2 linked regions of the Arabidopsis thaliana genome follow. The protein of the gene in region 1 interacts with the protein of each later gene in a pairwise test. Each region holds a gene or a part of one and is shown on either strand. Other genes may lie near its edges.

What was found.
Region 2: the proteins of HAM2 (region 1) and AT1G72030 interact in a two-hybrid assay, tested with the Arabidopsis thaliana proteins (2 studies listed by BioGRID).

What each region holds. Positions count from the first base shown.
Region 1 is NC_003074.8:22,410,519-22,414,445, forward strand, and holds the start of HAM2 (GRAS family transcription factor), read right to left. Parts: upstream 2,146-3,927; 5' UTR 1,850-2,145; coding exon 1-1,849.
Region 2 is NC_003070.9:27,108,662-27,112,567, forward strand, and holds AT1G72030 (Acyl-CoA N-acyltransferases (NAT) superfamily protein), read left to right. Parts: upstream 1-2,170; 5' UTR 2,171-2,225; coding exon 2,226-2,555; intron 2,556-2,642; coding exon 2,643-2,695; intron 2,696-2,776; coding exon 2,777-3,164; 3' UTR 3,165-3,271; downstream 3,272-3,906. Other genes in the region: AT1G72010 (TCP family transcription factor), read left to right, coding at 1-310; AT1G72020 (TonB-dependent heme receptor A), read right to left, coding at 860-1,080, 1,594-1,666; dNK (P-loop containing nucleoside triphosphate hydrolases superfamily protein), read right to left, coding at 3,498-3,699, 3,787-3,854. UniProt on the Arabidopsis thaliana protein: Protein acetyltransferase with dual specificity triggering both N-alpha-acetylation (NTA), with a preference for leucine, methionine, serine, valine and to a lower extent threonine and alanine as substrates (can also use glycine), and epsilon-lysine acetylation (KA) of several plastid proteins.

The sequences.
Region 1 (3,927 bases):
TAACAAGTTCTTTCCTCTGCCAACACAAGACAAGTGAAGGCGACGAAGACTGTCTCTTCTCCAAGTGAAACCCTCTCATTGGATTCCTCTGCAACAAATACTCCGCTTGTGTCTCCGCCGTCTGACTCAGCGTCACAGGAGTAAACCCACATTGCCCAAATAAGCTTCTCCACGGCGGTGATCTCTCCATCCAACGGTAACGATTCGTCAACAGTTTCTGTATCGACGGTTGCACACAAAACCTCTCAATACTCGTAGCAGCTTCCGCATTATTCAGATTCCCAGAGTCGAGAGACTCGAGCAGAGATGTGTAGTACTGAAGCGCGTTAATCACACCGTTAGGGAACGGCGCGTCGTTGTTACGGTCGCAGCTTCTGTCTGAGCAAACGACGACGTTTGGTGAGATTTGCTTGAGGAAACGAAGTATCAATGGGAGGTAACCGGAGACCATGGAGCTGATTGGGAGATTCACAGCGATTGCTTCTTTCTCCGATGATCGGAATAAAGACAGTGGCCAATAAGTTGGATTCAAGAGAATCTCCATGTTTAAGAGCTCGATTTCGAAGGAGACACCTGTTTCGCCGGCGAAGCTTCTGAGATTTTCTTCAGTGAATCGGAGCTCGAATTCGTCGGAGACAGTTGAAGGAGAAGCGAAAGCTGTAATCTTTAGCGACGGAGCTGATGAAGATCTGTTTCTTTTTCCGGCGAGCTCTTGAATCAGAGACGCCCATTGACCTCCATAACCGATATCGAAATCGACAATGTGGATCCGATCAAACCCTTCGAATGACTCGAGAATCGTTTGGTTTGCTGTGAAGTTGACGAATTGAAGAAACGGTGACGTTTCTGAGAAAGCTCTGTAAGCTGCGATCCGAAAGATTAGGTTTTGAGGAGGTGAGAGAGACGGTGGTGATAATGATGAGTCTTGAAGGAGAGAGTGAAGAGCTTCTGTTATATACGAAGCTGCTCTGTGGAACGGAGGTTTAGGATTGTTGTTAGTGTCGTCGTTGTTGTTGTTAAGGTTGTGATTGAGCCGCGCCAATATCCCTTGCGCGAGAACGGGATTGTTATCTCCGCCGTTTGTGGTGAGCTCCGCCGCCGCAGAGAATAGCTGGTCGATGATTACCGCTGACTGGTCTTGGTCGTTTTGGTCTTCTCCGGCTATCTTTGGCGGTGTGAGAAACGGGTCGTGAGATTCGTGACCCGGATCCGAGAACGGGAAAACCCACTGGAGGTGTTGAGATCCGGGTTGACCCGAATTGAGCCGTTTCGCAGGAGGAGACGACGGAGGATCCGAGAAGAAACCCGGATTTGGGTTTATTGAAATCTGAAACTTTTCTTCTTCCGGTGCGTTTTGAAAAGGGAAGCCATATCCAAAGAGTGGATTAGGATTATCAATAACCGGGTCGGATCCAGAACCGATGTCGAAACCCACAAACTCCGAACCCGGATCCACTACATCGCCAGCCATGATTAATCTAAAAATACTCTGTTCTTGTCCCGGCGAGCCACCGGAGAGAACACCATCGAGATCCTCGAAACCCATTTGGTCGCATTTCCCATCGGCGCCGGAAAAAGTAGCAGCAGCAGCGCCGCCGCCGCTGGGACCACCGTGAGAAGAAGACAGCGTGGTGGTTGAAGAAGAGACGAAAGGGCTTGGACTTCTAACAGAGTCTAAAACAGACGTCGGCTCCGAGAAACCACCATTGTTGACAACAAAGCAGAGATCTTCTTCTACTCGTCCATGGAGCTTCTCTGGATTAGCCCAGATTTTGTATCCCGGAGAAGAAGAAGAATCTAAGAAACCCAGAACCCCCTTCCCTTGAAATTGCTCAAAGGGCAGGGGCATGACCAATCTTACAGAGTCAGAAAGAGAATTTAAGAGTGAGAACAAAGAAACCCAGAAAAACCCTAGATCTCAGAACTTAAAGAGGAAGACGAAGATGAAAGCTTGAAACTGAAATTGGCGCCCACATTATCTCACACTCGGTATTAATAACAATCTTTCTTCTCGTTGCTTATGTATATTGACTCTGGATGATTCCAACAACATTCCAAAGTGATGATCTTCATAAAAAATGCTCTCTTTTTTTTTTTTTTAAGTAAAGGATTTGGTTTTTGCTGTGTGTGTGGTGCCTTGTGTCTGTAGATTTACTTATCTACATCTGTACTCATTTTATATCCCCTCGTTTCTAACCCTACTCGCACTTACGGCGCGTCACTCTTACTCTCCAAGAGATCATTGATTATATAAGTTTAAGCCATGAAAATCGAAATCAAAGTGTCATTAATCGAATAAATTTAGCCTTAATCATAAATTGACTAAATTACTATGATGACAACATAATAAATAAGGAAAACACTGGATTGAGGAAAAAAAAAACAAGGAAACCAATAAATTTTATGCATATCGACAAAATTACTATTCTACATTTTTCGTAAATTTTGTTCGATTTATAAAATAAACTTGCATCTTGTAAAATAATTTGTTATTTAGTGAAATAGCAATTGGGTGATTTAATATATATGTGCAGTAACATGTTTTATATTAAATAGTATGATAGTAAAAATATACTTCATTATATATGTATAAAAACTAAGTCAAGGGTCAAATGAAAATGAACCAAAAGATTTTTGTTCTTTTTTCTTCAAACCAATAGATTTGTTTACTTAAAGGATGTGTCAAATGTTTGACAAAAAAAAAAGGATGTGTCAAATTTATTTTTGAAATTACAGGTAAAAAACATTTTGAGAGCGAAATCGTAAAAATACTTAAAATAGTCAAAATTATTTACTTATTTATTAAGAATATGGGATCATATAGTGTATAATTCATTAGATCAAACTAAATAAGTAATAGGAGTATGAAGAAAAGAAAGAAAATAAATTGAATTGTCGAAACCCAAAAACCTAAAAGAGTCAGTTATTAGTTGATTGTCTTACAGTAAGTAATTCAATAGTCCAGAACTGTTGAGGCGCGTTAGATAACGATCAATCTGAAAGACAGTACTATTAAAAAAATCAAAAACATATACCGAGGTTTCAGAGCAAAAAGCGAATTTGATACAGATGGCTTTATTGTTAATCATTGTTTTCCATAATTACCCTTGCTTTCTATTAACACACTCTGTTTTTTTTTTTTATCTAACGGTTGAAATTGCATGAACTCTGGAGAAGATCTCATGGCTCTAGTCTAGATTTTTTATAAACTAACTAATAAATGACATATTGACTATAAAATCTTGCATTTGCTAATCAAGTTTAATTTTGAACGACAAGTAGACACGGTCAAAACTAAAATTATGACAAATCTTTAGCCTATGTTAGTTGATGTTTACACGTGTTTGCGATAATCAAATCGTTTTATTCCACCATTCTTTTCTAAAATCATCTATATCATTTCTTCTTCTTTTTTTCACTTCTTTGACAAACTTGAAATACTTAAGTGGCCGTTTATTGGTGGCGGTAATAGAATAGAGGATACCAAAAGGAGATTAAAAAGAAAAGAGGTGGAGCTGGATTGCGAAGACAAGTTGGAACTTTTGGTAGTTTGTGTGTGAATGGAAGGGAGACATGGCTTATGTGATTGCCCTAAACATATTTCTATTTTTTAAGCCAAAATAATATAAAAACAAAAATCTTTGTAATTGGACATTGTAATAATGGGAGACATGTTTTTTTTCCTCCAAGACAAACAAGAAACCTCCATGTGAATTTCCACCACCTTGTAATATGTCTAACAACATGTATTCTATTAAACTAGTATTTCTTTCTGCTTTGTTGTTATATTTTAGGATTAAAAAATGACCAATTTGCGTAATTTAATCAACTCATTCTATACATTCTATAGGTTGATGACTGGCTAGTGGAGGGACACATCGACCGTGTGTTACCTTGCATACATACTCGTGATTCGGTTTCACGGAA
Region 2 (3,906 bases), on another chromosome or scaffold:
GATGCTTCCGATGAGCGGTTCGGGTGGGCGGGAGCAGATGCAGCAGCAGCCTGGTCACCAAATGTGGGCGTTTAATCCAGGGAATTATCCAGTTGGGACAGGACGAGTAGTAACTGCACCAATGGGGTCAATGATGTTGGGAGGTCAACAGCTAGGATTAGGAGTGGCAGAGGGCAACATGGCGGCTGCAATGCGTGGCAGTAGAGGCGATGGTTTGGCCATGACTCTAGATCAACATCAGCATCAGCTCCAACATCAAGAGCCAAACCAGAGTCAAGCTAGTGAAAATGGTGGTGATGACAAAAAGTGATCAATCCTTTTCTCTAGTTCCACCTCATGACATTGTAATGACCACACTCGAGTTTGAAGATTCGCAATCTGCGGTTTGGCTATTAGCAACTCCATTTGTAAAACATGTTTTGGCGATGGCGGTTGAATGCTGCCATGCTTGAATGACAAATATGGTGAAACAGATAATGGTTTTAAGCTTTTGAACAGATTTGTCACATCATTTGTGGGTTTTTGTGTGCCTATGTGTGTTTTCTTGATTTCATCTCTCCTTTTGATTGTACCTTTTTATTAATAGATTTGTGAATATGTTGATCTTTCTTGGCTTTTGGGTTCTACGATACTCAAACAAAACTTTCACTTCCAATCAAAGTAAAAAAAAATATATCTGTCAGATTATCATTATTACAGCATCAAACAGCCAGCAAAAGAGGAAGACACAGAAGACTTAACCATAACGATAAGACTTGTGGCTAAGATCCAAAGGGAGAAAGAAAAACTCTCTTGCAAAAGCAGAGTTTGAGAATTCATACAAATTATTCAAGCTGTGAACAAGAGCATCCTGAGGGACTTAACCAGATTGAGTCTTCCTCTGCTGGAAAACGACTGCGAAGATAGGAACCCCAACACCGATGCTGAAAGCGGTGAATACACCGAGAGACATCTTGAGAGCTTGGTACTTCATGCGGTCCAAATTGTACATGTGTTTTGCGTGGAGGTAGTATTCATCGTAACCACCATGTCCTCCTCCGCTCATCTTCTTAACTCCAGTCGAGTGGAAGCTTCTAGTCACTGTTGTTGATGATATCAAAGAAATCTTCAGCAAGTTTTGAAATATTACCAATCAAACACTCATAAATCATCTTATAGCCCATTTAGTTTCAAGAGATACATCAAAACAAGCTGATCATAGCATGAACATGGAGCCTTTCACTGATCAACCAAAACTATCAAAACACGAACATGGAAAATTTCCATGAAACAAGGAAACATCAAAATATGCATTTCTAATTTCATGATACAATTTTTCAGCCTAATCATAAACAATCTGTTTCGCATCACGCCATTAAAGCGTGTTTCTATGACAAATTCGCGAGCAGAGAAGTTTCAAATCCCAGAATTCAATCAACGAAGAATCGCATCGGAATCAATCCGCGGCTAATCAGAAACATTGATATCTAGGCAATCAAACAAAACCTTAGAATAATCGATTCCTGGGAAATCAAACAAAACCCTAGACAACAAAAAAGGGGAAAAACAAAGAAATGCAAAACCAATTCAGCAGATACTTCTATTGGTACTGACCAGATCTGGAGACTGATGCTTCGGAAGAAGCAATGATCTTAGATACAGATCTGATGCTGGTGCTCAACGCCATGATTCAGAACTAATCGAGAAATTGCAAATGATGAACGACTTCTCTGGAAATTTTACGGCGAATTTGTTTTGGGGAGGAGAGGAGACTGAGAAATGAGAGATGATATCACACGTGCAAAGCGACATCTTCTTTTGGGCCAGGCCCATTTACTCTTACACAAGGCCTTTATTTAACTGTGTTGTTCAAATATTTTTGTTTTAAGTAAAAGCTGACAAAAATGTTCAGAAAAAAAAAACTTTGGGAATTTTCTTAGGAATCATATAACATGTCAAAATAAAAATTCATGTCACTTTCTTTGATGAACATGAAATATACTAATTTTTGCTTGCAAATCTCCACGTGTAGAGTCACCATTTGTCCACGTAGCTGAACTATTTTATCTTTTCTAACCCCAAAAAAATCTCTGGATGGTCATGAGCTAGCGATGATTCTTAACCACAGAAAACAGACGATGGAAGCAAGAAGCGTATCTTATCTCTACGTTTCATATTAAAGCGCATGAAAACGAACATAATAAAGATTCTCTTTTTTTTTTTTGAAAAATGCTAGAAAAATAAACATGGGTCACTTGCCACAGAGCCTCTACTCCGCCGCTGGACCAAAGTTTCCATATCCTGGAAGCTCCGGTCTAGGAGTAGATCAACGGAAGCTGACGTGGAGCCGCTTCCCGGTGTTCCTACGGTGCGCGTCGACGGAGTCGTTAACGAGTTTGACTCAGAATAATGCGGCGGAGATAGAGTTGAAGTATCTGGTGAGTCAACACGGGTGGGACGTGAGGAGATTGAATAGAGACGACGAGGATGAGATCAGGAGAGTGTCTCTTGTTCAAGCCGAAGCTTTCCACATCCCTCTTGCTCTTTTTGATGATTTTTTCTTCATGTTTTTTCAGGTTTGTTTATTTTTCATTCTCATATATGATTTACATTGAAGATTATTGTTTTGATGTATATGAAGATTTTGATAATATGTAATACAGGCAGAGGTTCTATCAGCACTTCTTTACAAACTAAAGAATTCACCACCTGACAGGTAAAACAAATAACATAACATAATTTCTTTAAGACTAGTTTTTAAATGTGATTAATTATAAAAGTTTTAAGAATTTGGCAGATATGCATGTCTCGTGGCGGAGCAAACAAGTGAAACTGAAACTTTGTCGAGCTCAAGTGTTGTCGGAGTAGTTGATGTAACAGCTCAAACTGAAAGTTCAGTACTTCGCTATTTTCCGGGCGTCGAAGAATATCTATACGTCTCGGGTTTAGCTGTCTCAAAATCTCAAAGGAGAAAGAAGATGGCAAGTACATTGTTAAAGGCATGTGATGTTTTGTGTTACTTGTGGGGTTTCAAGCTTCTTGCTCTAAGAGCTTATGAAGACGATGCAGCTGCTAGAAATCTTTACTCGAATGCCGGCTACAGTGTGGTCGAGACTGACCCGTTGTGGACCTCTACTTGGATAGGCAGAAAACGTCGCGTTCTTATGAGTAAACGCTTTTCTTAGGCGTTTTCTTCATGTACATTTTGGTTAAAACAATAAACACACTACCATCTAATTGGATACAGAGTAAATGTGCAGAAACATGAACTGAACTGAAATTTTAGACGACCAACAAGATTTCAAGAAACAAATTATCCAGAGACCAAACTTTTATACAAAAGGGTTAAACTAAACGGTGGCACGACCATGTTTTGTTTCTACATCTAAGATGGACAAAAGCGGCAGCAAACGTTTTTTTCCTAAATAAACGATATAAAAGCCGATCGAAACTATTGACATTCAATAACCTGACACGCTCCCTTGGAGCCAACAAAAACAGAGTCAGTGAATGGACAGTCACGCAGACGGTCTAGTGAGGAGTGACTTGAGATCTAGAGGCGGGAGATCTAATCCCGGGACATGATTGCCTGCTGGTCCCATCCAGAGACCTCCATTCTGATGTGGTAGCAGTACCGGCGACTGACTGTTGCTCTTCTCTGTAGATGTTTCTTGCTTCTTCTTCACAAACTCAAAGAACTCAGCGACCTGGCGTGCATACCTTTTAACAACATCAATCAAGAAAGTATCTATTAGATTTATGATTCCAAATAAGTTATGGTGACATTACAGTAGTGTGAGCACTTACTGTGTCTTTGCTTCAATATCCCGGCTGAAGTCGATATTGGGTTCACAGTCCAAAACCAGAGCAGGGACCTGTTACAACCAATGAACCAGTCTAAGCAAAATCTATCTTCAGACTTTTAGC